Linked DNA regions of Zea mays. The protein of the gene in region 3 binds, or shares a complex with, the protein of the main gene of each other region. Links are inferred from orthologs where the notes say so. Each region holds a gene or a part of one and is shown on either strand. Other genes may lie near its edges.

Region 1 (9,919 bases), about 16 Mb from region 3:
CTAATGAGTGAATTGCAGCAGCAACCGTACCTTCATCAGTCATATACTTGTTCTTGTCGTCTCCCGCATAGGCCAGGAGGTTGTACTTAGGATTCCATTCAACGCTATTCATAGCTGCTTTACATGGAATCTGATGAATTGATCGTCCAGTCTCAACATTGGCCTGATGGAAGTATAATAAAAAAACATAAAATAACAGTACTTTTTACATCATCTAGTATTGAAAAAAAAGCAATTTTTCCCGTGTGTCACGACTCACAATGTCAATGAAAGGATCTTCACTGGCATATGCAATGAATTCTCCAGTATGACTGAAGCTAACTGTTCTTACAGGCCACCTATGAGAAGTAAGAATAAAAATAAAGATATAAATCTTTGTAAGCTTATTGAAACTGGAAGGAGGATTACATCTACTTGCTCCACTTATCAAGGTTTTTCTTTGAATGAATGCTTATCACCGTTTCTTCATCCAACCCCTCCAAGCGCCAGAAAATGCATATTCATCAAACTAAGTGAACTCAATGTCAAAATAACCCCCCATCACCGCACGTTTCCAACATTTCTCATAAAAAGGCACATCAATTGCTGAAAGCCCTGATGTGTCAGCAGAAGGTAATTTTTAGGCAGCTTAACCTTTACTTATTTCGCAAGGAGGCTGATTGGAAACCAGGAGAAGTGGAGAGACTCAACCACTACGTGAGAACCACCCATCCACCATTTATCATAGTTCCCACTATCCTGTGATAGCAGTGCTCACTGGAAAATGGGGATATAGGGGCTACAAGTCCAGGGCTAAAATAACTTTGACCCTTGGTCAATTTTTTTCAATTCCCTGAGGCCGTCACTGCATATCAACCTAAATTGATGATAGCAACCACCAATTGGCTCAATTAAATATGTCAAGGACTTAACTGATGTGCAGTGTAATGTACCAATGTGCAAATCCTTCATTAAGTTCAATTGCATTGACATGCTCTCTAGAGTACAAAAAAAAGATGTTGACACTCACCCCACCCCCAACACACACACAAAACTCTCAAACCTTTAAAATTTAATAAATAGTCTTCCAACGAAGGAACAATAATGACAACTGAGAACTCATGTTTAGAAATATAATAAAACCATTCAAGACTATTCCCATCTAGCAATGTTACATTGTAAAGTTAAGGTAGAAGAACATACTCAAGTTTTGTGAAGGTTCTAATGCATAACAACTCTTTGACATTCCAAAGACTGACAAGTGAATCTGCACTTCCAACAGCGAAATACCTAGCATTGGAACAATTTGTAACTGTCATCAGAAAAACAATTATAGCTTCTCCCAAAATCAGAGTAACTGGAAACCAGATAACTGATTACTATATCCAAAAGATGACTACAAAATGTATGAAGCTTACTTGCATATTGTTGTGGACCAAAACTTGAACATAATTGCTTTCATCACAAACAAGGCTAATTGGAACCATACAATATGGGTCCGTCATTTAGGCCCAGACTCAGTCACACATCAGGCGATTTTCTCCACCTCAATCTATGTGGTGGTATATTGAGCCTCACAGTTCGCAGGACAAAGTATCTAGCGTAGAAAATAAACTAGATCCACTGGCAAACTAAATTGCTCCTCTATGTAAATTCTGAATTCAGTAGTTGCATGAACAGAACAGGTAATCATTTCTTCTCAAACTCACTTACATGTAGGTCATGTCCTAGTTAATCACTCACCCAGAGGTTGCTATTAGTTAACAATTTCTTCTTTACCTAGAGATGAAGCTAGGCTATAAAATTTCAATAATTCTTGTTATTCTGGTCTTTTAAAAAGAAAAAGAATTTTGTTATTCTAATAGCCAAAATATATGTGAATAGGTTGTGGCAGTATTAATTGGAATTAAAGTAATTAATCATGCAAGCATCAGTGTCAAATATTTATAGAGTTCACTGTTACATACATCTTAAATCAAATAGCAGGCCAGATAACCCAATTGAAGTAGTACAAATTACAAATCCAAGTGATCCAAAGAAGTACCAGGGGCGAGAATAAATAAAGAGCCTTCAATAGAAAATACCTATCAAGTGGATCCATTGCAATGCAATAACACCCTGCTGTATGAGCATTCAGCTTGCAGGGCTTTAAAAACTCAAGATCCTTAACCACCTCAACGTGCCCTGCATGACCAATAGACCATGCGGAAACATTAACTGATACAATATGGTAGCACTAGAAATCTGCCAAAATGTAAATACAGTGTTTATTTATTCAGTATTATTAACGTGAGCTTGGAGAAAGCATTTAGTATCCTACCTAACCCAGTAGTAATGAAGAATAGATCTCCAGCTTTATTCCAAGCAATCTCATTCATCTGAGGAACAAAGCAATAATGCAAAGTTGCAAACATTAAACAGTGAAAGCAATATTTTTCCTTGAACACACATGTGTATCAGCATTGAGGGAGAGGCCAAAATGACAAATCAGTCCTCCCTCCCCCCCCCCCCCCCCCCCCAAAAAAAAAAGTGCAAAGTTGCAATGAAGAATAGATCTCCAGCTTTATTCCAAGCGATCTCATTCATCTCAGGAACAAAGCAATAATACAAAGTTGCAAACATTAAACAGTGAAAGCAACATTTTTCCTTGAACACACATAATGTGTATCATTGCATTGAGGGAGAGGCCAAAATGGCAAATCAGTCCATCCCCCCACCCCCAGGTCTGAGTAGGTGGCTGAGTAGCAGGTCCTAAGTTTGACTCCCTATGACAGCAAATTTTATACTGGGGTGAAAAAAAAACCTCATCTGCCGAAAGGTTCATGATCAGCAATACACAAATTAAAATAAAGTATACGAGCGAAAGGGCCTCTAGCTGAGTTAGCTAGGTGGTTTGAGTTCGATTCCCCATGAGAGCGAATTTCAGACAGTGTTAAAAAAATCCTCTTGTCTGTCCCATGCCAAAATATAGGTGTAAGGCTTGGTCCTGGTCGTGGTCGTTCTTACATGGACTATGGTGCCACTGTGTATGGGTGGAGCACTGGAGCAGGTGTCCGGAGGTTTTCTCAACATGTGTGAGGTCTTCTTCTTAATACAATGTATGGGGGTTGTCTTATCCCCCGCAAGTCAAGTTTTAAAATAAAGTATATGTTCAATTATTTGCTAAATTCATACAGCAGTACCCATTTACTCAAAAAACATCCATACATCAAATTGTCTCAGACAAGCACACAAGAACAGTGCTGCTCATTTTATTTCTACAAGGCGAAAGGGTCTCTAGCCGAGTTGTTTAGATGCTCTGAGTAGCACTCCTCAGGTCCTGGGTTTAACTCCCCGTAGGAGTGAATTTTCAGGCTGTGGTTAAAAAAAACCCTCGTTTGTCCCACGCCAAAGCACAGGTCTAAGGCCCAGCCCCGGTCGCAGTCGTTCTCACATGGGCTACGGTGCCGCTGTTTATGGGTGGAGCAGGGGTTCGAGGGTTTTCTCGACCTGCATGAGGTCTTCTTAATATAATGTCATGGGGTCTTAATATAATGTCGTGGGGCGGTCTTACCCCCTCCAGGTCGAGTTTTTATTTTATTTTATTTTATTTCTACCGACATGTATATGTGCATCCTAATCCAAAGAACAGTTGGATCAAACAAAGAGTTGTTAGAAAATGATTCATATATCCAAGCTTCAATTTATAATTACCTCGTAAGTAGACTTGTGTTTCTTAGCAACTTTAAGTGTCCTAACATCCAATATCGTCAGCTCATCCTCCTACAAACCATAACAAAACTGTTATTGTAGACATATAAATATATAATTTGAAAAAATTAGAGTTTCAGTAATTTGTAAACATCATATAGATACAGTTTTATTAACCTTATATGATTCCCCTCCCCCCTCCCCCAAAATGCATGTTTTTCACAAATTACTTAAATTATTTACATAGATTTCTCAAGCTCAAGAATATTTATCTATAACCAAACAGAATAAAACATGTCACAGCTCCATCTAATTGATTAATTAATATGCCTATATGTACAACTTTAGGTGCATAATCCAATTCTATATTCTATATTGTTATGATACTGCCATACTGGTACAGGATTCAGCAATGCAAAACTGTAGGACTTCCAGAAAAGAAACACCAAAATAGCAATATGGCTGAACTTTTTTAACGTACTTGCTGAAAAAGGTATAAGCCAAAAGTGACAGTAGAACAATCCATCTTACTGTAAATAAATAAACCTAACCACATTAATATAGGTCAGTTTTCTAAATGTATCCATTCTTGGCATTAGCAGAGAAAAGTTAGGCAGTACAAACCTTGTTTCCAACAGCTATCTGAGTGCCATCATGTTTATATGTGATGTTGATGTTTTCTCCACTAAGTTCAACAACTTGACATTTTCCACCTAAAAAGACACAAAGAAGCATTGACGAGAAGATAAAATCATTATAACTTGATTGACAGAAACTACCACCAAGAGTCCAAGATAGAACAAAAAATACAACATATATCATCTGAAAGCCAGATGTCACATATGACAAAATAGCTTCCAGATAAAGTTATTACATAATAGATCTTTCCACATCAAATTTGTTGTAAATGTGGGGTAATGTAGGAAATAACAAAGGGCCTGTTTGGATCTTATCAGATTCCAGGTTCGAGCCTGTAGAAGCTAGGATGGTCTCCAAACACCCACCATCTTCACAAGCCCGCTTCCACAATCTCAAAAGCTGAATGAACTTCGCTTCTACCAGCTTATAGAAATTTATATGGATCCAGATGCAGTCAAAATAAAAGATGTATTTCATAGATTTTAAGAAGTATAATGCTAAATGCATTATGAAATGCTAAAGAAAAACTGTGCTTTCTAGCAACATCATGGATGAACTGTGCTACTTACTTCGAGCATCCCAAAGACGAATAGATTTGTCAGCAGCTGCAGTAGCAACTGTATCAGGATGATTTGGATCCCAGCAAAGCTGATCTACACTATCTGTGTGGCCTTTCAGTTCAATATCTTTAACCTTAGACTGTAACAAATTAGCACAAGTTCCCATTTAGATCTTTCAATGGTATAGAAACATACGCTGAAATTACACTCTCTGGCTCTCTGCTACCAAATAGAAAAGCATAGAAAGGGCTATTATTAAGAATCAAGGTAATATACTCTAGTTAAAAGTTATTCAAAACTCTACAGCTTACTCTGAAGATTCCATCGGTTCAGAATAAAACCACGTCTCGTGCTACAAATTATGGTAAAGGTTTCGTTGCACTATAAGAACATTATATGTTGAGTTACACCACAATAACTGATAAACTGAAAAGTAAATTATATTGCGCACAAGCTAAAGAAACAGGAATATTACTGTAAAGTACCTGTCACAATTTCTGCAATAGCCAAAGCTTGAAGTTAAAAGGGAGGTGCAGATGAGAAGCATTTGTCCCTCTTTGGCATATCACGCAAACTAATGCTTTCTTAAGTTCAATGTCATAACTTATTATCTAGGTTCTATAAGATAGGGAATATACCAGTTATGCAGATTTTCAAAATTTACCAAACCGATCATTATCTTAATAAGAAAACAGTGGGGAGCGTATCCCATTCTGTAAAGATAAATTTGGTACCAAGGACAGAAGGAGAGAAAGTTACATGGACATGTGGATCAATGCTCCAGACACGTGCGGTATGATCGATCGATCCTGAAGCAAGCTTTGTGCCTAGGCAGTTCCATGCTACAGAGTGCACCTAATGATAAAAACTATCAGAATGGTGAACACAATGATAAGATTACCAAAGAAATGCATAAAACAAAGCAAAAATAAGAACCCACAAATCAATCTAAATTTTGTACCGACAAGTACTAGGGTAGAGTGGTTTTGCTTTGAAGATCGCTATGAGGAGTTAAGGACAATTAAGCAACACATTCAACATAATGTAAGAAACAAAGAAAAAACATCCTCAGAATGTCATATATTCATCCTGAAAGAAAGATCATTCCTTCTTATTTCTCCTCATTGCAACTTTACAACATGCCCTAAGATAATCTCAAATTTCTTTATAGAACCAGAGGAAAACTGCTCTTGCTCCCCTGCAAGGACAGGCACCACGGCCCCTTTGCTGCAACAAAGGACAACCAAAATAGATTGCCTATTGCAACTAAATTCATTTGCAACTAACTGTGGCTGCAGCAATATTTCGTTTTCATCATGCCTTAACATTGACTCCTTTCATGCTCTATATAAAGAGAAGAAATAGCTAAATCCCCTCTCCACGCTTATAGCTTCGAATCGAAAGCAAGATAGGTCCACGATCCCATCTATGTTCTCAGGAACCAAACCGGAAGGCCCAAAGATTGTTACTTCCGCACCTTGTTTCATCATTCTGCATGCAAGGCCGGAATTTAGGGCCTCACCCTACGAATTGCAACCCTAATGATTGGAACTTCGAAACCTTTCTTCTGGCGAGATTCTGGGTTTTATAGGGGCTCAGAAGAAATTATAATGGGATATTGGGGAGGCGTTGAGAGGTATTACCTTCTTCTTGTGGCCGTAGTATTCCCTCGACACCAGGTCCCTTAGATTCGCCCCAGGGGTCGAGCCGCCGCCGGCGGCGGCGCCACCGCTGCCCTTCCTCTCCTCCTCTCTGCTCTCCATGCGCTCTCGCCCCGTTTTGTCCGGGAGGGGAGTAATCCAATTCCAATCCCAAAGTACACAAACTAGCCCATGAAGAGATCGGGCCAGGCCTGATGGGCTAGGCTACATTAAAACATTCAGCAACTCAGGTCCTGTTTGTTTAATATGATCTAGGCCCATGATTCCATAAGCTACCAACCTTCATTTTGAAAGAAAAACCTATTCCTTAACTGTCACACCCGTTTCTTTGAGACAGAGCCGGGTGCATAGCATATGTGTGCCAGGATTTATTTTCACACATATATTGACATTACAAGTGTAATATATTAAAAGAATGATACATAAGAGCGTAAATAAAGATTATATTAACATGTTACACTTCGAACAGACATAATGTCTTAACCTTTATTCATCAAAGTACAGCGAAACATGGACATCCATCCACAGGAAGATGACCGGGGGTATCAATAGACTAGCATCCATGGAGCTCAGCATCATAACTTCATCTGCAAACTTCTGATCAAAATTTAAGCAAGGGTGAGCTCACTTATGGTCAGGGCTCAGCAAGTGGGGGAAAATGCAAGGTAACAAGGTAAGGCTAAAGTTAAATGCGATTGGCATTTTAGTTGGTCAACATTTTATTAACAACACTTGTCTTACTAATAAGTGTGAATCCCAAGTATTCCCATTAAACAAAGGTATAAGAGTATATCAAAAACACTTAAGTGAAACCACTTAAGCAAACCATTGGCAGATCATCGGATCTCGATTTATTTCCATCTTCAAGTTCAATTATCATGTGAGGAGTCTAGGCTGCTCTTAACCGTGAGCACAGCTGATATATCAGTTTTACACTCTGCAGAGGTGGCGCATCTTTACCCATGAGTCACGATCCCCTTCTAGCTTGGGTTAGCTAGACCTGTATTCACTTCCGAGGTGAATGGCTAAGGTCTCACTACGAGGCTTTTCCCTAGAGTCCTCATTATGCAAATGCTGGAAATGGTCAAACTGCATAGAGCACATCTAACGTAACCAACTTATAGTCCAGTCTGCAGGGTAAAGCTTTGGGAATTATGCATGTATCCAATCTGTCTGAGCCAGAAATATAAGCGCTTGCCAGATGCCCCCGTTCCGGTCGACCACGACCAGCACCCAACATAAGACTTCCCTAGTTATTTAGCCAAGGGCGTCCCATACCACCCTCATGGTAGCACTGTTTTCCCGGGTGGTCACTTCATGTTCCAATTAAATCATATGATCTTGCTTAATCGTCGGATTAGCAACAATAATGTAAACTTACCAATTGGAACCTTAATATCACAAATCGGAGTGACTGCATAAAGTTAAGTTGTAGCAATAGCATAGCTACGAAGGTAAAGTATAATACCCAAGTTTGATCAAGGAATATGGTAGAAAAGGTTAGGTGTATCCGAATAGGTAACCCATCAAATTATGCATATATATCTAAGTTCTTAAAACCTGACCCGGTTTGAAACACCGACCGCATTTCACGGGTTCGGCACCTAACGTTTACTGACGCGTGGCAGTACAGCATCGGACGCGCCAACATGTGCCCCCCTCGTGCCCTGCCTTGCCTGTGTCGCCAATGCATGCTTTCTCTCTCCTCGTGTCGCGCTCCCAGACACCGCTACAGTGCGCACCCACATGCTACAGAGCTTGGTGTCCGGTGCAGAAACCAGCTCAGGTCAGGCCTTGCCTTTCGCCGTTCGGTCGCCGCGCATCCGCTATAGCGTCGCATCTGCCAACTATAGTGACCAACGTCTGTTGCTGGCAGGTGCTCAGGTCACGCCTCGCAGGTCGCCATGCCGTCGCGGCACGCGGAGGCATGGGCACGGGTGTATGGTTGTCCTTCAGTCAGGCGAAGGTCGCATTCGACCGCGAGCCCTAGCCTCCGCTTGACACCATCCGTGATTTGTCCCCATGGAGGCTGATTTGACGCTGCTGTTGTGCCCCCTGCTCTAGCGCGGACCACAGGCAGCTTCCACTTTGAGAAGATGTGTTGGGGTTCGTCCTCGCCAGCCCTGAACGTGACTGTCCTCTCTGACCACGACGATGCGCGCCTTGACAACAACCCCACGTCTAAGCAGTGTCGCGGCATGGACACAAGGTTCGTACTTTCTTCCCTTTTATTATCTCCTCCTCAGTCCCCCTCATCCTCAATTCGCGTTTTTGTGCCCTACAACTGAAGTTTCCCCCAAAATCGCCTTCCTTAGGCCTGCGATTTTCCATTCTTTGTGTGTCGTATCCACCGTCGCCAAGGGATTTGCCTGATGTGGTGCTCGTAGCGTTCATGACCTATCTCTCGAGAAGGCCTCCCTGGGTGCAGGTTCATTTCCATTCTCATGTTAGTTCGCTTGCCAATTCAGAGCTGCCTTTAGGATTTCTCATGCATGTTTACTAGAACTGGTAGATTAGTTCATCTGCTGCTACTGCCATTGTTTCCTCTAGAGTTCAGTTTTTTGGCTTTGTATGCTTCGTTCGTGCCAGGAGCTTAGGGAGGCTACAATTTGTGAAAAAATGCAATTTCATCCAGTAGTGAATCAATCTGCATACAATTATTACCTCCATTTGTCTGCTAGATAAAGTTGTCCTTGGCTTTGATTTTTTAGATTGCAGGGTACATACACTTATTTCAAAAGAAAAAGGATTTCTCCATCACGAACAGTCTGATGCTTTGCCATTCCCTCAGGATGTAAAAAAATGTTTTCCTCAGCTTGAAGAGAAATTATGCTTTGTCAATCGCTTTAACAACTAACTAATTTAGGACCCCCTTCTTCGAGTTCTATTTTTTAGTGTTTTCTCTTTCTGAAGTGAAATAAATATCATGTCTATTTTTTGTAGGACTCGTGCACTCGAAATCTATAGCTTTTAGAGTCTTTGTTGTGCAAATCTTCTTACAAAACCTATGGTTCTCTGGAACACTCTTTAGCATACAAAATTTTTTATGAAGGTTGTCTGATAGACAAAGCTATCGGTGACCCTTTTCTTGCTTCTTTGTAAATGCAGAGTATGCCAACTTTTGTCAAGAAAATAAAAGTCAGTCATCACAAAGCAACCCACTACTTAGTCATTCCCTTATAGTATAAAGCATAGAAATATTCTTAGTAGCTTGGATTAAAAATGATGGTTTGCTAATCACTAAAACAGATAACTAATTAAAGCCCTTCTTCTCTCATTTCCCTTGTGCTTCCATTTTACTCAAAAGAATATGTGATGTTGTTCAAGGGAGTACTATTTCTAATCTGATGGAGGCATGTTTGTAGCAGGCATCCTACCATTGATGCTCCT
Region 2 (10,149 bases), on a different chromosome or scaffold from region 3:
GGATGCCATGCATGGCAAAATGATACTGAACTATGGAGTTAGATGTTTCATTTGAAAAGGCTAAACAGAACTCATTCGAAAAAAATATTAGTTGCCAGGAAGTAGGCATAGTGGTTCAGGTTTCCCAAGGAAATACAATGTTTGGAACTTTGGATATGGAGCACATAATAAATTTTTAAGTGAAATCAAATAATTACCAACCCTAAAAGCAGTGAATATCACACAACTTCTGTTCCACATACCTGTTGGACAATTGTCCGAAGCACAATCATAGGATTCGCATGGGCAAGTTTAGCCACCATGCGTCCAAGTGGCTTCAGGTTTTCCTTAGCCAACCGTTTTAGGAGCCTTCTGGTGTCCAGCTGATTAAAAAATGCTATGTGTGAACTCAAAACTTGACATGAAGTGATAGATTTAAAAAATGTCAAACAGCATAGAAAGGTAACCTTTGCAGTTTGCCTTGCAGCAAGGACAATTGGGTTTTGTTCGGTCTCCTTTTCCCATTCACCATACAGACGATAGCGGGCCTGGAGACTAAGGATAGTCAAGGTACTAAATTGCTAAAAACATGAATAGAGCACTACAAAATTATACGATATCACAAACCTCATATGGAAGAAGGGAAAGAACCCCCCATATCTCCATATCAACAGCAGGATTAGCAGGGATAAGCTGCAACGAAGGGAACAAGCACGACCCAAGTGCTTCCTCGATTCGAGATTCTGGTGAAACTACATTCGCTACACGGGTTGACTCTTTTGATGAGTGGTAGTACGCTTTTAATACTCTGCAAACCTAAAAAACATGGACGATGGGTCACCAAGTACATGGTGATGTTCAACATTTTCACTGGTAGAGTATTCATGTGAAACTGGATACTTGCAAATTCCAAGCAAAGAATAATAAAAATATAACATTTTGCACAGCAACTGCAAAGCTGCAAAACTTGGTTGTTGATTGTTATAACTAGGCAACAAGCCAACAACAGTGACATTTTGGTTTATCGCAACGAATGGAGGAAATTCTAGTCATGACTATGGCTAGGTGCAATGCAAGGGCTAGTATGGTGCTTCTGTATGAATTCCAATGCCACAACCAATAATGTAGCATCTGTGTCCTGGACTAAGCCATCAGTTTGGCAGCGCCAAGTATGCATGATAGCAAGCAGTAGTAAAAGATTTAAGTCACCTTTTGAAATAATTGAGTATCACGATGAAGATATGGTCCACAAGCGGTGAGCATTTGGAAAAACTCCTTCAGCAGATCAAATGAACTTACAGACACAGCAGATGTGCCTGTCTGGTCAGCATCATTTCTAGGAGGCAGGTAATAATACAGGTGACAAACTATATGATATGCGGAAGACATTGTCTTTTCAATCATTCTGCATAAAGGAAAATAATAAAGGTGAATATAAGTTAAACTGCATAAACCTAAGAAATATAATCATTGGATCAAAAGAAATACAACAAACCTAAATAATCCATCACAGATTTCAATGTGCTCAACAGGATTTAGGTGCCCAAGACGCTCAAATAGTAGTTGTGCATGATACCTAGTAAATAACAGAGGAAAGCAATCAGTAATATTTACAACAATAAAGCATTTTTGTCCCAACAAAGTCAATCTAGACTAAAAAGTGCTTTGAAATAGCGTATTGTCTTCACAATATGATTATACAACAATTATGTTTACAAAGTGCGCAGAATATTGGTGCATCTCCTACAGAAAAGTGATTGCCACCTATGAATAAAACAATAAAAAACATTTGTGTTCATTTAATAATTATAGAACAAGTAAAAAATAACGGAACATATGTATCTTACCAGTCATGCACAGAGAGAAAACCAAGAAGTAGCCCAAGTTTCTGGTTCTTTTCCATCTCAGGGGCTCGCTCCCCAACTATATCGTTTTCCATCTCCAATGCGGTATACATATCAATAGTAATTTCTTGTTTCTCGTCATCCATAAGGTCCTTCCCAGTAGCAGCAAGGTTGATTTTGCCAATTTTATTAGCCTAAAGTCAAGAAAAAGAGTAACTTCGTTAGTCAAAGCCTCAATGTCCTACACTACATAAAGAGAAATCAATATGGCCATATTGTTAATGTAAGATCAAATCCACGTGTGGAGGTAGAAATTGTTCCGGTGAAGAAAAAAACTAAAGCTCTTTCTGTTTTTCATTACGACAAAAGGGGAAAATATTGTACATAGTTAGACAAGACAACAACGTGTAACATAACCATGCAGTATATGTCACATGAAGGGATGGCTGTACATAAGGCTTTTACTTCAAGAAACTTCTAAAGTTTTCCATCCATCAACCTTCTTGCCACTCCCTTTCATGCTACTCTCTTGGCCAGTTACAGATTTATAAGAAATACCAACCTCATCAATTCTTCTTGAAATGAAAGAATCAAAATGCTCAAACGCCTCGTCGTCATTTGGAAGCAAGTGAGAATAGCTGGAGAGAAAAAATGGTCATGACAGATCCCATTCGAGAAACAAATAGTCCAGCACCAACCAAACTATATATAGTAGAACATAAAAAAAACATAGAGAGGCTACAATCAGTGAAATCATATATTTATATATGTTCCCTTTGGTTCAGTAACACCTAAATTTGCACAACTTGAGGAAAATGAACTGATAGAAATCTAACAACACTGAAAACTGTGATAAAATTGGGAAACTAGGAAATGGCCACCATGGTACAGATAAAAGATTGAAGAACAATGCTTTTGTTGGTTACACCTTGAGAAAACCATAGCTACAAAACCTCACAGCATAAAATAAAAGGAAAAGATCTGACAATTGTTTAAATTAGAGATGTATAATGATCTTCAAGATGAATGTTAGCCATCATGAATTTTCCATGGATGAGTAGGCAATTAGAAAACATACACATTATCAAGGTCGATGAATCCAGATTTGATCAATAAAGCTGCTGTTCTGAAAAGGCCAGAAGGAACAGGGCTGTTGACATCCAATCGTTGATAGTACTGGAATTTGAACCCCAAAATTTGGGCAGCATGGGACTGAAATAAAAAAATGTATTAAATTGTGAAAACGCTGCATTAATTATGACAAAAATCATGTGAGATGTGGTAAAAAGCTGAAAATATTCATAAATTATGAGACTCCTATTATTGGATGCTGGTTCTAAACTTCTAATTCTAATAGAACAAATACCTTTGGGAAAAGAGGTATGAGCTGATTAAAGATGTTACTATCTTGGTAGAGTTCAAAGCATTCCAACACCTGGCAGACAAGAACAACAGAATTGCACAACTTCAACACCACACTCTGACATTTAAGAGCATTGGCATAGCAAACGAAGACTCACAATATCAAATACACGATTTGGGTCCAGATCAAAATGGCCAATCAATGACTGCCACAAAATAAACAATTTGTTATTACACAGTACTGGTAAAAAAAGCTAAAAATATAGCACAGAGGGAATTAAGGCCTACAGACAACCTTTATAATGCTGATCGTAACCGAAGAAGAATTCTGGCAAGCCAGATCTGAACCAACTTGACAAAGGAGTGTCACCTGAATGATCCACACACACAGATGTGTAGGTAAGAAACCGCTAAACATTAATAAGCATCACAAAAGAACCTTACAAAACTATAGGAAGAACATGATTAGCAGAAATCACAGACAGTGGCGAGGTACAATCATTTAGGTAATTTTCAAAGTACAAGTCTATATAGAGATAGAGGACGTGGTATTCCTAAGCATAGCACACTTAGCACTGTAGACATCATTGTTTACAGAGTGAGTTTGAAATAGGAGATAAGAGAGCTACTGGAGATAGCCTAAAGTGATTAAATTGGAACACATTTCCAACAGTTGCTTTGGGAATTATAAACTCATAGATTCCTACTATATTTATATTAATTTCCTATCCTTAGCATCCATATGTACTTATTACTTTAACCAAAACACATTGAACAGTGCACTTGTTTGGTACTCCCTCTATTCTAAATTATAAGATGTTTTAACTTTTCTATGTACATAGCTTTTGTTATGCACATAGATATACGCTATCTTTTTTCGGCAAGGAAGATATAAACTATGTCTATATACATAGGAAAAGCAATTGATGCATCCAAAAACCAAAATATCTTATAATTTGGAACGGTGTAGTACTAATCTAAATTTTTTAGGTTATTGGTAGGTTCATGGCCCTCTGGCATTTCTAAGAAACTCTAGGGGGATGTAAGAAACTAAGAACTGATACTTTGCTAAATTTTGACCTCATCCTAATAAACTAATTCTTACTCCAGCAAATGGATTGTCGCAGCTTCTCAATTTCCCTCCTAACAACCTATGGTTGTGACAAAGCACAACAGCAGAGGTTACAAGAGTGGTCATACCAGTCACGACACTCAAGGTGCAACATGTGTTGCGGTAGAATTTGATCAGGCTAGTACAAGAGCCAAGCATGCACTTTCAGACAAGGACAAAACCCAGATGGACAAGGCAGTATGGTAGACAAACCATCAACTACCATTCAAGGAACAGGATTATGGTTATCTTTATTCATAAGCATGTGCATCCAAGGAATAAACTAGTCAACTAAATCATTTATCCCTTATAGAAAGAAAACAGTTTCTTGAACCTCTTTCACGCTCATGTCATGTCGAGGTACTGCAGAAAAAAGAAACACAAAATCTGATCCATTTTTCTAATAGATTAGTCAACATGGTGGTTACGAAGGGTGTCATCCAATGTTTTATAGGGATGGCCTAATCAATGCTGCCGCTCTAAAATCACTACAAGAACAAAAAAAAGAACACAAAATCGGGACAAGTAGACATACATACCAACTTGGCATAGCCCTCACTTTCCTCCCGTAAGAGGTTGAATTTAGTTTGCTGGTAAAGAAGCCGTGTGTTGACCCTAACCTGTTACCAATTACAGATCAACGTCAATCGATCATATAGCTAATGTTAAAAGAAAAAACATATCACCGAATAATATGAGGCAAAAGTAAATCACTCAAGAACCACGATAATAGAGGAAAGGTAAGGACATGAATGTGATTGAGAAAAAGAATAAGGATACTATGAATATACCATGGTAAATTAGTTTACTTAAAAAAAGTTTAACAATGTGTGCCCGCAATAAGATGCCAGCATAAAACATCATGACTCAACGTGTATGACAGATAGAGAAATCAGCACATTATGCGTACCTCCTTGGATTTTAAATCCTGGCCTTTTAGCTTACTTTGCTCAACTTCCCAAAGGAAATCTTCCTTCAAGTCCATGGGTGGAGGAAATAGAAAGCATGTAATGTATCAGCTTTATCTTAAACTGATGCCAAAAGGAATAAAAAAACTCACTTCACATCGCTCTTGCAGAAGCTTAGGCACAGTAATCAACGACTCCACAAATGACTTAGTCTGCAAGATGAGTATCCATATAGAACTCAATGAGCACTTAAGCAGTCCCATTTTTAAACCAACAAGAAAGTAGACATCGAGGAGTACGAATTGTTTCATTTGCTTTAGAAGTCATGCCTAACTTATTACCATTTTAACAAGACGGCTGCGATATTCACCAGATATTGTAATCTGCATTTTGAAGTAAGTTAGAATGACTAAACACTATTAGAGGAATGTCACTAAACCAAAACACGAGGAGAAAAACTCATCCAAAAAAACACAGGTGCCAAAGCTCATGTCAGGTAAAACGTAAAAGCAGTGAATCATGGGTCAAAGTCTAATAACCTAATTGCAGCAGATAAATAAAAAAGCAACAGAGGCAGGAAAACATTTAAAATTATATGATGGGAAATGGTAATGGCACAGTGAATAGTATTATTTGCATTTATACAGTGTCGTCTCTATTGTCCACCTTTTAGTTCAAAGAAATGCATCGAAACAGAACTTCTTAGAGACACAGACACCTCATAAACGCTACAAAGTGGCCAATTCAGTCCATATACACATAGCTAGTGCCACCAAAACACATGACAGGATACAATCATACAATCCTAGTCTGAGAAAGTTAACTAATCAAATACACACCAGACACCACGAAACAAACTTACTACCCACAACGATGGCATCAGAATAAATTGCATATACTCACGTCCTGTCCTAGGTGGGCAATGATATCAACGAGCACGGAGCCGAGCTCCTCCTCCCGCCGTGCCTCCTCCACGAACACCACCGACTCCAGTGCCACTCGGCTCTTCTGGGGCGGCAAGTCGCCCAGCACCTGCGCATCCCAGCCCACCCAGTCAGCACAGAAGGACCAACGGGTGGAGGAAAACCAAATCACGGAGCAACCCGAACTGTCGAAAGCTTACAATCGCCCAGCAGAGCTCGTAGAGGAAGCGCGCCATGGGGACCGGATCAGGGATGCGGAAGGCGCCGGCGGACTGGCCCTTCCATTCGCGAAGGGACTCATCCGTGATGTGCTTGTAGTCGGGCGCCTGCAGAGGGGGCGACATGGCGGTGGCGGCAGTGTTGGTTCGGGTGAGGGTTTTGGGGATTAGGGTTTCATGGGAGCTGCCAAAGGCCAGAGAAAGAGGAGCAGGACCGGGGTGGTACCGATGGAGAAGGCGAGGAAGACAAGGACGGCAGAAGCGCGGTGTGTGCAAGCAAGAACGGGATGCGTGGCTTCCGTTTTTTGTTTTACACCAGTGAAAACAGAGGCTTGCCTAGTGCGATCTAAGCTGTCAACGGTCCAGATCCAGCGTTCATAATAGCTACCAAAGTAAACGAATATGTACATTTCAACAGAGTTTATATATTGGATCATTTGTTCTCGTTTGTGCATTTTAGAATCAGATTATATATCGTAGTTATATACTCCCTCTATCCCAAACTAAAATTCGTTTAAGAATTTTAATGAATCTATACAATGTTGATGTATGTTTTTTATATATAAATATTTACCATCATCCATTTAAATATAGTAACAAAAAATAAGAGTTAAGCCGAATAATAATTTAGATCCCTTGTATTCATACGATAGATGAGTTTAAATTGTGGATAGATGGTAAATCAATTATAGCTTTATTTGGATGCTCGTGTATCTCATATTCTCATCCAGTCCATGTGCGTTGGAATGTGATGTTAAATTTTTTGGCTACTTTCTTCAATTGTGACAAGTAGGATATATAATTTATATTCTTGTGTGTAGCATTGAGCTTATTAAGATTCATAAAAAACAAACATTAAATTTGTTCTAACCCTTTTTAAATGATTGGTATAAAATCCAGATACGCATACAGATTCAAATTTGGGTGTTTTTTACTTTTTCCATGTATGAAGAAAACAATGCACGAACAAATATACAAAAAATTATTCTTGTTTTTCATAATATTCTTAACAACATAATTAAATATTAGCACCAAATTACATGTATATCTATGTTAAGATATTGAATTTATCATATACTAAATAAAATTAGTTACTCGCGCTCACAAAGTGGGTCGAGTGACGAAAGAGTGTGATGTAGTGATTTTGAAGAAAAAAAAATCACACTCTAGTATTAGATAGAGAGAGATTTATATGTTTTTTAGGTCTTTAGCTTTGACTCTCGCATTTTTTTCAAACTTACACACTATGATGTTGCACAGACGTTGAGACTGGGAGATTAGTACAACCACACTCGTAGCTTGTGTCTTATAGCATAACTGAACATTAAGGGACAGTTGGATCTCTTTATTTTAAAGGAATTGAAATTTACTTAATATAGTAGCCTACTTAGTTTGAGATTTGGTATTCAACCACTTTTTAAAGTTCAAATATAAACATGTCTCAAATTCATAGAGTTGAGGGATTGAAATTGATTTTATATATCTTTAAGCTATGACTCTGCTCTGCAATTTATAACACGCTCTTCAGTTCGCTCATCTGTACCGAAAATATTGCACATAAATATCTTCCTCATATAACTAACAGTGGTATACAAATATGTTATGCGTTGAACCATGTTAACTTAATTGATTTATGCCTAAATTACTGTTATAAAATGGGATTCAATGCCAAGAATCCAAACGGGCCTAACTGTATTTTCTATCTATATCAGTCACAACCTGTTAGCAGATGCAATTACGATTTCCATGTATCAATACATGTCATCCACAAATATATATTTAGCTATCCATGTCACTTATTAATATTAAGTTATAATAGTTTATCACTTTATATAAGTAACTAATTATAGTCTAATTTGATTCTAACTCACCTACTGTTCCTCATCAATGTACAAGATATGCTTATAGCCTAGATGGTCGATGATGACAAACTATCAACGTAAAGCATGTTCAATGATGCCATCGAACCATTCGAAGGATTGTACTGATAGTCAATAATGTAACATGGAACATTACTAGTAGTTAGGAGATCCAATAGATTCAAATGAGCTTTACTTATAAAGTCAAGTGTTGGTATAATCTTATCATCAAGAGAGGTGCAATAAAGTGGAAAAGGAACTTCACCAACAACAATGGTAGCTAGGAGAACTAATAGTTTCAGCCAGACTTTATTTTGAAGGTTAAGTATTGGTACGACCTTACAATCAAGAGATGTGCAATCATGACGACCTGGCATCCCTCCGACTTTAACAACCTAAGTGTTAGTAAGGCAGTCAACCCTAAAACATGCAACCATCAACTTAGTTAAGAACCGACTAAATAAGAACAAGGTGGAAGGGAACTCAAATATATGAGGACATGAAAACAAAATGTTAAACATAAGTTGGTGGACTCGTGCTTAATTGTCACCAAAAAATGTTAACACACACATCCAACTCATCTTGGTCAACGAAGAAATATGAAGCCCTCTAACCTACTAAAAACAAAGTTAACGTTTCTAAGGACTACATGTGATTCCTATAATAATCATAAATAGGAAATGGTGCAATTCAAAACAAAGTCAACGCCCAACCTAAAATATGATTTCATATTATACATCAATACAAATTAATTTAACTAGATTTAACTAGTGATTAACCTTGATAAATAAGCATATGTAATGATAAAACTATAGAGGTCAAGCTCTTTAAAGGGAAGTCGAACTCTATATTGGTGAAAAGACAATTAAAACAATAATAAACATTATTAATGGCTACAAATATGAAAGTAATACAAATCATCAACACAAGATGCACAAGCATCCAATCATTACCTGGAAAAAAGCGAAAGGGGAAGAAAAAGAATAAAAGAGGAAGCACTTGAAATGATGAAACCTACAAGCTCTGAATCTAACCTGTTAAATAAATAATATTAACATATATTTGACTAGAGCTAACTTTGTTTCTAACGAACTTTAATTAAGTTCATCAACAACTTTTATTAAAGACTTAAACTACAACTATATGAGGAAGGTTGTCAAAGGAAACTCTAAAATTTAGATAAAAATTTAATAGACGTTCAACTAGTCAAATAGATAATTGTTTGTATAAATACTTTAAATGTTGTCATCATAAGAAATACATTACTCCCTCTGTCACAAAATACAATTCATTTTAGACTAAACATGCATTCATTGATTAGTCTATGAATGTAGTATGTATTGTATGTACCACATTCGTTATCATTAATTCGAACGTGGACGAAAAAGGGTCAGAAAGAACTATATTTTGAAAATAAGAGAGTACAAGTCATGTACTTTAATGTAGTATATAACATTAGTTAGAAAACAATATACAGATAGTTAAATTTGAAACCTCTATTCTAGAACAAATTCAAATTCATAAAAACAACTTAGAGTACTTGTCTTGAATTTGGGTTAACGTTACAAATTTGATACTATATGTCCTCCCGCTTTTATTAGACAAATAAATGTGAATCAAATGCAAAAGTTGATGTTATATAGCACTTGAGTTGGCAAAGTTTGACCTATTGAACTTCCTAGGCGCACTTTCATTTTGAACCGAAACAGAAGTTCCAAACCCTAGTTCATGACCAAAAAAACCTTTTGACAATGCAAAACTTAACCTTAATTGTCCACTAGTCTAGAACCTCAATAATAATAATTACGTAGTAGACTTTGTAGATCATCTTAAGTGGAAGATGTTTTGTATATAGTGTCACACCTAGGTCTACACCAAAACGGCCATGATTTGGATATAAAAATCAACACATGGATGCCCCAATTGCTCAATGAAATGCCTATAA
Region 3 (10,031 bases):
TGATGCTATCATGGAGTATGCTTTACTTTTTAAACGCCCGCTTATCCAGTCTCATGTTGATGCCTTAGCTGCTCTGTTTGGGTGGTCTACACCTGAAGACTTAAGGTCTTAGGTCTGTCCAGTTGGCGTTTTCTGTTAATTTTCCAATGGATCCTTCCAAAATACTTTTCTGGAATGTGAGAGGACTTAACTCTTCGATCAGGCAAGATGCTGTGAGAATGCTGGTTGATTCTGCTAAAATTGATGTTGTATGCTGTCAAGAGACTAAAATGCAATCTATTTCTAGAAGAGATATACTATCCATGCTTGGTGTCGAATTCACAGAATTTGTGTTCCTGCCTTCGATAGGAAATAGTGGGGGCATACTAGTGGCTTGGAAGAGGAATATTGGTCATACTGGACTCCAGAGAATTGATAATCATTGTGTTTCAGTGCAGTTCTGTAGACAAGACGGCCAGCCATGGTGGTTAACATGTGTCTATGGGCCTCAGGGGAATTCTGAAAAAATTATTTTTCTACAGGAGCTGAGAGATACCCGAGCGGCTTGTGTTGGCCCTTGGGTGGTCGCAGGAGATTTTAATCTAATCTACAAGAACAGTGATAAGAACAACTCAACCTCAACAGGGACATGATGGGCCGGTTCAGATCGCTGATCAACGATCTAGCTCTTAAAGAAATTCAGCTACATGGCAGAAAGTTTACCTGGTCCAATCAACAGGATAACCCGGTGCTTGTGAAGTTGGATAGAGTACTCTGCTCGGCTGACTGGGAATCATACTTCCCAAATGTGCTTCTGCTCAGTTCATCCTCTCAAGATTCAGATCATTGCCCGCTGCTTCTTGGTCTAAAAGACAATATTGTTGGCAAGAGAAGGTTCCATTTTGAGTCCTTTTGGACCAAAATGGAGGGATTTCAGGACGTGGTGCTGGAGGCTTGGAATTCTGTACAGCCGGTCAGCTGTCCCTTCATCACCCTGGATAGGAAACTCAAGGTGACAGCCATGAGGTTACGCAGCTGGAGTGATAAGCAGGTAGGACATATTGTTTCGCAGCTTTGTCTGGCAAAGGAGTTGCTGCATAAACTCGAAATCGCTCAAGATCACAGGGCCCTATCTCCGGCTGAATGCTGGCTTAAAAATAGACTCAAGAAACAGTCCCTGCTGCTGGCCTCCTTCAAGCGTACCATGGCAAGATTAAGATCAAGAATATCCAGGATTAAGGAGGGGGATGCAAACACCAAGTTTTTTCATATGCATGCTAGATATCGGAAAAGGAAAAATCTGGTGACCTTGCTGAAAGACGGTGATAATATTATTACTAGCCATGCTGCCAAAGCAGATTTAGTGGATCAGTTTTATTCCAACCTTATTGGTCAGTCGGTCTCCAGGGAGAATACCATTGATTTAGCTGCTCTCGGCCTCCCAGCTCATAACCTCTCCATCTTGGACGCCCCTTTCACTGAGCAGGAGGTTCTAGCAACTGTCTTGAACCTACCTGCTGACAAGGCCCCTGGCCCAGATGGTTTTACTGGGAGGTTTTATAAGGTTTGTTGGAACATCATCAAAGTGGACGTACTCAATGCAGTTTCAGCAATTTGGTGTAGGAACTTCAATAACTTGGATAAAGTTAATTCTGCATATATTACTATGATCCCAAAGTTTGATGGGGCTGATCAGGTGAAGGATTTCAGACCGATTAGTCTTGTGCACAGCTTTGCAAAATTGGTAACCAAGATCCTGGCCAATAGGCTTGCTGGTCATCTGCATGAGCTTGTCTCCCCAAATCAGAGTGCCTTCATCAAAAGCAGATTTATACAGGACAATTTTATATTAGTGCAGCAAACTTCAAGATTTTTACATCAGCAAAATATGGCATGTCTTCTTTTTAAGCTCGACATCACAAAAGCCTTTGACTCGGTTTCATGGCCTTTTCTGATTGAGGTGCTGCAGGCTTTGGGTTTTGGCCAAATCTGGAGAAATATAATTTGTGGGTTACTTGGTTCCTCAACTACTCAAGTGCTGCTCAATGGGTGCCCTGGCAATAAAATCCAACATAGAAGGGGGCTCAGGCAAGGGGATCCCCTCTCCCCCATGTTATTTATTTTAGTCATGGATGTCCTTTGCCTTCTATTTGCCAAAGCTGAAGAGACAGGGTTGCTGCAACAATTGTCCAACAGAAAGAAACTTCATAGAATTTCTATTTATGCTGACGATGTGGCCCTCTTCCTGCTCCCAACTCAGAATGACATTTCCACTACTCTGGACATTCTCAACATCTTTGGGAATGCCTCAGGTCTACACAACAATGTGCAGAAATCCAGTATTTATCCTATCAGATGTTCGGAGCAGACCATCCTGGAGGTTCAAAGCTTGTTACCTTGTGGGGTGGAGTCCCTACCTTGCAAATACTTGGGTCTCCCTCTTTCTCTACACAAACTAACCAAACAGCAGCTCCTGCCCTTTATTGAGAAAATTGCAGATCTTCTCCCAAGCTGGAAGGCAGAGTTGTTGAACAAAGCTGGCAGAAGAATTCTAGTGCAGCATGTCCTAACTAGTATGACAATCTATACTGCAATGGCTATTGATTTTCCTAAGTGGGCTTTGGATGCAATTGATAAAATTAGAAGGGGATTCTTATGGAGAGGCAGAAAGGATGCTAAAGGAGGTCACTGTATGGTAGCCTGGGAAAAGGTTTGTAGGCCTCTACATATGGGAGGCCTCGGGATTTCTAACCTGACTAAGCTTTGTTGGGCTCTCAGAATGAGGTGGTTGTGGCTGCAAAAAACTGATTCTTCGAGGCCATGGGTGGACCTACCCATTCAGGTCCCAAGTATTGCCAGGTCCTTCTTCTCTGCAGTGTTGATGTCAGAGGTTGGCAATGGTGCGAATACTCTTTTTTGGGTGGATAAATGGATTAATGGGAAAAAGGTAGCTGATATTGCACCAAGACTGTTCTGCACCATATCAAAAAGAATTGCCAATAAAAGAACAGTGCAAGAGGCAATGGACAATAGGAGATGGATTAGTGATATTAGGGGCGCTCTCTCAGCAGGGGCCTTGATTGATTTTCTGCATCTCTGGGAAGCTTTAACGGATTTTCAGCTACATCCTGATATTGAAGACAGACACATTTTTTCCATAGCGCCAGATGGTAACTACTCAGCAAAAGTTGCTTATGAAGGGCTCTTCCAGGGATCGTGCTCCTTTCTTCACCACAAAAGAATCTGGAAATCCTGGATGCCACCCAAGTGCCATTTCTTCCTGTGGCTGGTGGCACATGATAAATGCTGGACTGCTGATAGGCTGCAGAAAAGAGGCATGAACCATCCGGCTAGGTGCCCTCTTTGTGATCAAGAACCTGAAAGCATTGATCACCTGCTGGTTTCCTGTGTGTTCTCAAGAGTTTTCTGGTATAGGCTTTTGAGAAAGTTTGGGTTACACAGCTTATCCCCTCAGCAAGTGGAGCCTTCCTTCCTTGGTTGGTGGGAGAATTCCTCGGCTCAGGTCCTCAACATGGGAAAGAAAGGACTGGACTCCCTTGTTGCTTTAGGGGCCTGGATGATTTGGAATCATAGAAACAAGGTGGTGTTCGATGGAAGGACCCCCTCTATCTCCTTCCTTCTTCAAGCTGCTGAGGATGAACAGGAGACGTGGCGGCTGGCTGGTGCCAAGGGGCTTTCCTTTTTGGCCAGCCAAACTACCTAGCTCCTAGGGCTGTAGTGTTTTTTGTCCAGTTTTATGGATAGCTTTGTGTATGCTTGTTTCTGGCCTCCATAAGGAGTGCTTGTACCTGGGTCCTTATGGCCCTTTATTTTCCCTCTACTTTAATATATGGGTGCGCAGTCCTCCTGCGCTCTTTCGAGAAAAAAAAAATACAATGCACAAGACAGGAAAGGATGATGGTTTGAAACCCGCACCCCAGATACGAGCTGTCCCATCCTCTGATCCTGTTACAACCTGATCAAAAAATAAGTCAGTTAGTAACATATCACATATTGTACATATTATAGACAAGATGAACATCAAATAATGGAAAGCCAAGATAATCAAATAACCTGGCGGTTTGACTCACGAACTGCAATGCTGTGCAAATAATCAGCATGCCCCTTGAATGTGATTTTACATTTACTGGTCTCCTGAGAGAAGCAGTCATGATTAGCATTAGTTTCAGATACCTTCTCAAGCACAGAGCATTGATATTATCCAAGCTTGTAATGCTAAAGACTCTAAAGCAGAACTGCAGTTCCTTCTATGTGTGTTCAATTTACCTTAAGAAAATACATACCACATCCCAGCAGTAAGCACATGCATCACCCGCTGCTGCCAAAATGGATCCATCCTGTTTGGAAGAATGATGATAACAGAAAATAAGATTTGTTGAACCAAGCAATATGCATGAGGAACGAAAATTTGGGACAGTCACACTTCCTGGAGGATATAAAAACATGAAAAGTTCCAGTTGTTAACCTGTTTATTAATTGCAATGGCATTGTTTTCAGGTACTGGAGATCGAGCACCCCAAGGACCCCTACAAAATTGCCAGCAGCAACAATGTTATTAAAGCTACGTTTAAACTATGTTTAAACGTCAAAACGCTAATTAGAGCTTGAAACCACGTTTTGTCGTTCTAAACTGTAAAACGCAGTGTTTTATGTGTTTTAGACCATTAGCTACTTTTGGGCCCAGTCTGTTAGTTAGGGTCCAATCTGGCTCATGGGTGAAGTTTTGATAAGCCACTAGCCTCTCTATTTTGGTATTTAACTTCATGTTATTGTCTGAAATTATGATATATTGGTATTTTTCCTATGTTGTTCAAAACTAAGTTTAAACTTTGTTTAAAAGTCAAAACTTCACCCATGAGCGTTTTATCGTTTTAATAACCTTGAGCAGCAACAATGCAAACAGGGTAAATTGGGGGGGGGGGGTGGGGGGGGCAGCTGCTGGAATAAACGGTGTAAACTGGAAGGTCTGAGATTGCAGTTTTATCACAGAATCCTTACTCGTGCTGAGGGTTGACCAAGTCAAGTGCTGGTTCCAGATGATCCCCTGTGAACAAAGGCAACAGAAAAATTGGTAAAAGCAATAACAATGACCAAAATGTAGAAGATGCACTAGGCAATTTTCGGCGCATTTCCACACAGATACTCGTTTGTTCTCCCTTTTCTCCTTTATAGGAAAAACAACATATGCTCGTTCCTTCCACCTTTTCTCATGTACGAAAAACAACAGATGCCTTGTTTCACTTTTTATCAATACAACTATACTGGTTATTAAAAAAACTGAAATAATATTAACTTGGCCTTCAAGGCGCAACACACAGAAAAACTACAAAAGATATTGATGCATCTTCATAGATAAAATAAGTAGCAACTATGAAACATTTTCACATGAATCATGCCTTGCACTGGCAAGATTCTAGATTTGTATCTATGCCAGTGCAGGGCATGATTCATGATTTCTCCTGCATCAAACCTACACCATTGTAAAAAATGTGCATATTTTTTCGGTGCACCTGTGCTAGATGCATCGCAATGCCCTAGTGGCCTGGTAAAGCATATGACCATTTATGAAAGAAACCACGTCAAAAAAGAATGGAAGTTCGAATGCAGCACCTTGCAGGGAGAGCGGGACAAGGCAGCTCTGCATCTCGTGCCACCTCCAACCCTTGATGCGGCCATCGTCCCCGCAGCTGCCACAAGGAAGTAAGCAGCCAAAGAACCGCACAACCATTAACCCATCACCGTCTCCAACCAAATGAAGCACATTGCCATGGGTAATATTGTCAAGAAGCATAAGAGCCTGTTTGGAAACTTTGGATACAAGGGCTAGTTGCTAGTGCTAAAGAATTAGCCAAAATTAGCTCTAGCGCATCCACCGAACAGGAGGGCAAATTGGTGGATTATTTTTTTAGCCAGGTCTTCAACTAGTTGGAGAAGTCAATAAGGATAAGAGCCTGTTTGGATACAAGGGCTAGTTGCTAGCGCTAAAGAAATAGCCAAAATTAGCTTTAGCGCATCCACCGAACAGGAGGGCAAATTGGTGGGTTAATTTTTTTAGCCAAGTCTTCAACTAGTTGGTAGCCAACTAGCTAGCTAACCACAGCTAATTTAAGCGAATTTTTAGCCTCAACTAGTAACTAGCCATGTGTATGAAACATGCCAAGTCAAACATTCTGTCAGTCACCTGAAGAGCAGCGGCTGCTGTTGATCGGGGTAAAACCTGACGTCGTAGGCAGGTCCGCTGTGCGCTTGCACGATGCAGACAGGATCTACCAGAGTGGCGGCGGTCTCCACCTGAGAACCAGACCAAGAAAAACTCACTCTACGCCTCTCTGGGCGTGCGTCACCAAAAAATCAGTTCTGGCCAAAGGGTACGAACCTGGGAGGTAGCGGAACATGCGGAGATGCAGGATGAAAGGGAGAAGGAAGCGAGGGAGCCGTCGCTGGAGGCGGCGGCGAGTAGGATGTCGGTATCCGGGTCGTCGCTGTGGTCAAAGAAGACGGCACGGAAGAGGGTGCGGGACGAGAGGTCGCGGGCACGGAGGATGCCGCGGCGGTACGATGACTCGTCCCACCGGCGCGCGTCCATCGATGCCGGATGGGACTGCGCCGCCGCCGTCGCCATGGCTGTCCTACTCTGCGCTGATGCGCTCTGCGCTTTTGCTTCGGGGAGCGAAGGGATCAGGGAAGACGGGGACAATTCCGAGTTCCCGACAGAAAAGTGAAAGCGACAGCGGGTTGGGCTGGGCTTCTTTCAACTAGAATTCCGCCGGCTTCTGGCCCATCTTTAAACTTTTCCATCAAAATGCTTTAAGCCTTTGTGGCACGCTCCCTTATGATTTTAAACAAATAAATTTATAAGAAAAAATATTTATATGGTTTTCTTGAGAACATCTCCCTTAGGAGTTATGCAATTTTTTAAAAATAAAATCTAGTCTAATTCACACAAAAATATGGTTTTGCTCGACAAAAATATGAAACAATTTTGAATTCTTTTTCTAGAATCTTTTGTGGAGTTATTTGAATCTTCTATGGATACATTATGGTGACATGGATTTTGTATAAGGCAAGGGCAAAGTGACTTCGACAATGTTATGAGTGTTATGTAATGACCTCATATGCAGTGCTTAGTTGATGAGCTAGTTAAGATATTTGTTATTGGTGACTTGTTGAAGCTTTTGTAAAAAAACGCAACTGGGCAACACAATTAAAGTAAAGTCTCTCTCTTTTTTATCTTTGATGGGTTCTAATGTACCATTAAATAACGTAGACGAAGCATGTATTCAATTTACAAGGGTCTACATTTTTCCTTTCTCCTTTATTGGATTAAACAAAGATGAGGAATACATAGCAGTTATGAAACCTTTGGAAGGTATTGAAGGTTTCTTAAACTGATTTAAGTGCTTGAAGATGACATACCTTCTAATACTCTTTGTGCACGAAGGTGCTACAGGCTTAGACATACAAGTGACCAACCCTTGTAACAGTGGCATTGTACACTTATTTATAAGATCAAGATTACACACATTCCAACTCAGAAAAAGAATGTCCACTCCTCTATATGAAGACTATGTACAACTAGAGACTAACATTATGTCTTTTTTAGGGAAGAAGTGTTGTATACACCTTTTCTTCCTCCTTCGATAACGTACTAAGGTAGTTCAATCCTATTAAAGTTTCATTTCTTCCTTCTCCTTTGGCTTGTCGTTTCTTGATGGAGAGCCGACCTAAGCCTCCGATTTAGACACATGGTTCGGAGGTAGCCAATTGAAAATAGACTAAAGCAACAATTTTCATCAAATATAGATATTCGACCAAAAGCTCTCCTCAACACTTCTCTAATCGTTGAGGTCACCCTTCTATATGAAGTCTAGTTCCTCCAAGTCAATTATAAGTATTATAGATAGAAGAATAACTACTATAAAATAAACATCATAATGAACCCATAAAATACCCAAATAACTTCAAACTGGATCTAATAATAGAGCATGTTTTAGTTAAATATAAATGTAGTTTTTTCTAATGATTTTTAAGGTTAAATTGGATTTGAGATTATTTATTTGTTAATTTTCTTTTCATGGACATCTTTTCCAAAAAATGACATTTGAACCTTGAGCTATGAGCATGTTCCGATTTATCACTAGGGTGATACCCATAGGCATTGTTTCCAATGGTTGTAGATACCAAATTAACATGTAGGTGTGAGTACATATATGAGGTTATACAAACGCATATGGATCATATGTCGATTCAGCTGGTGCTTCAAATATATAGTACAATGCTCGTGCGTTGTGACGACACACAAATTATTCGATAAAATGTTAGTGCACAACGATTACATGAAAACAAACAATACATATATTATAATTGATATCAATATCGCACATATTCTTATGCGACATGAATTGACAATTTCCAACCGAACCCTAGACACTTATACATGTTGCCCGCTAGAAATTCCTCAAACTACTAAACTAAGTAGGCAGTCCGAGATAACCATGGTGGAATAAGAGGCAAGTGATTTCGGGCCAATAAATTTGCACTATCGACCAACCCATGAATTCTAGAATATAAAAATATTACTCATTGTTACATCAACCGATAGGAATGAGAATACATCAGCTGATAGAAATGAAAATAAACATGCATATTGTATCGAGAACCTTATATACACAGGCCCAAACCATGGCAGGCTAATTCATTATTTTGTACACTTGCACACATTATATGGGAGTGAATTAAATTATCCTCACACACACTTACCTGTGTTCTTCCCAAATTTTCCACTTCTTATCATCCACTAAATCTAAGAACACTCGAACTTCTAAATTGTTTTCTTCCTAAATTGCAAACAAAACATTCCACATCATTGGTTATAATCACATGTATCAAATGCAGTTGCTAAAAAAGGAGTGACATGCATTAAAATAGTCTATAGAACACAAATGAAGTTATCTATGACAAGTGAGGAGGCTGTAAGTATAGCCTAATGTCCTAGCCAACATTTTTAAGTCTCCATTTCCAAGTTATAAGATATTTTGGTTTTTTTCTAGCCACATAGCTTGTGCTATGTATTTTGATAAAATATTGGTCATGGCAAGGGAACTGCTCTTCCATCATCTTAGGGTTTGTTTGTTTTTCAGCTTTTTTGCTGATTCTAGCTGTCACAAGCTGTCGCGGACTACCAAACGCTCAGCTTCTCAGTTCGCTTCTATGAGGATCGCTTTGATGAAAGTTGTTCAAAATTAACGTGAACACACAATCGGTCGAGTCGTCGCGACAGGAGGAATCCATCACTTCCTAGATCCTAAACCCCATGGACCCCTTCATTTTCCTTCGCATGTAATCCACATAATACTCAAATTCTCCTCACATCCATATTATCCCTACAATCAAATTCTCGTAAAAGCTCGTCAGAAAAAAACTGAAACAAACAGACCTTTAAGTAGTTCCACACTGGTTGCTATGTTCACCTCTCATTGCATGTGTAGTGCAAAAAATGATTAAATTCTAGGTTGGACTTATGTGACATAATAGAAAACTGTCTTTTCTAGATTTGAAAGACAAACACCTTTTATCTTTTCAGAAGACAAGGCACAATTGCTTATCTCTTCTTAACACGGTTCCTCCTAGGTGGTTTAGGATTACATTTAAGAAATAGGGTAAAAACCAGTATGCCCATAATTTAGGATTTTCGTATCAAAAAATTCCTGAAGGATATGATGCCTACTAAAAGTAGTCTAGAGGGGGTGAATAGGCTAAACCTGAAAATTATCACCAGAACCTTCGAGATAATGTTAAATCTACAGTTCAACTGGTGCAGGCCAGTTCAACTGTAATAAAGGCAAGTTGAACTACTCTGAACCAGTTCAACTGCTAGAATAAATCTAGACTATGAACTGTGCAGAAAATAGAAGATGGATCTCTTATAGTGGAAAACGCGAGAGATAAGCTAAGCGTGGATGGTGAAAATACGAGAGTTAATTCACCACAAGATCCACACGGCGAGTAAACCTATATGATGTCTATCTTGC

The links.
Region 1: THO complex subunit 6 (region 3) and THO complex subunit 3-like share a complex: the UniProt entries of both Arabidopsis thaliana proteins name them as parts of the THO complex. The link is inferred for Zea mays from reciprocal best matches to the Arabidopsis thaliana genes DWA1 and TEX1.
Region 2: THO complex subunit 6 (region 3) and THO complex subunit 2 share a complex: the UniProt entries of both Arabidopsis thaliana proteins name them as parts of the THO complex. The link is inferred for Zea mays from reciprocal best matches to the Arabidopsis thaliana genes DWA1 and THO2.

Annotation. Positions count from the first base shown.
Region 1 is NC_050102.1:86,886,166-86,896,084, reverse strand, and holds the start of THO complex subunit 3-like, read right to left. Parts: upstream 6,657-9,919; 5' UTR 6,632-6,656; coding exon 6,512-6,631; intron 5,724-6,511; coding exon 5,628-5,723; intron 5,008-5,627; coding exon 4,878-5,007; intron 4,383-4,877; coding exon 4,294-4,382; intron 3,742-4,293; coding exon 3,673-3,741; intron 2,358-3,672; coding exon 2,300-2,357; intron 2,164-2,299; coding exon 2,064-2,163; intron 1,270-2,063; coding exon 1,183-1,269; intron 339-1,182; coding exon 260-338; intron 164-259; coding exon 31-163; intron 1-30. UniProt on the Arabidopsis thaliana protein: Acts as a component of the THO subcomplex of the TREX complex which is thought to couple mRNA transcription, processing and nuclear export. Contributes to the integrity of the endogenous trans-acting small interfering RNA (ta-siRNA) pathway.
Region 2 is NC_050098.1:214,422,833-214,432,981, reverse strand, and holds the start of THO complex subunit 2, read right to left. Parts: upstream 6,657-10,149; 5' UTR 6,472-6,656; coding exon 6,328-6,471; intron 6,237-6,327; coding exon 6,108-6,236; intron 5,588-6,107; coding exon 5,546-5,587; intron 5,417-5,545; coding exon 5,357-5,416; intron 5,270-5,356; coding exon 5,207-5,269; intron 4,917-5,206; coding exon 4,836-4,916; intron 3,556-4,835; coding exon 3,481-3,555; intron 3,392-3,480; coding exon 3,344-3,391; intron 3,259-3,343; coding exon 3,190-3,258; intron 3,036-3,189; coding exon 2,902-3,035; intron 2,462-2,901; coding exon 2,386-2,461; intron 2,018-2,385; coding exon 1,827-2,017; intron 1,556-1,826; coding exon 1,475-1,555; intron 1,385-1,474; coding exon 1,189-1,384; intron 796-1,188; coding exon 607-795; intron 528-606; coding exon 447-527; intron 363-446; coding exon 243-362; intron 1-242. UniProt on the Arabidopsis thaliana protein: Acts as a component of the THO subcomplex of the TREX complex which is thought to couple mRNA transcription, processing and nuclear export.
Region 3 is NC_050102.1:102,978,650-102,988,680, forward strand, and holds the start of THO complex subunit 6, read right to left. Parts: upstream 6,762-10,031; 5' UTR 6,623-6,761; coding exon 6,377-6,622; intron 6,292-6,376; coding exon 6,182-6,291; intron 5,688-6,181; coding exon 5,611-5,687; intron 5,045-5,610; coding exon 4,999-5,044; intron 4,527-4,998; coding exon 4,466-4,526; intron 4,338-4,465; coding exon 4,284-4,337; intron 4,135-4,283; coding exon 4,054-4,134; intron 3,956-4,053; coding exon 3,916-3,955; intron 1-3,915. UniProt on the Arabidopsis thaliana protein: Acts as a component of the THO subcomplex of the TREX complex which is thought to couple mRNA transcription, processing and nuclear export.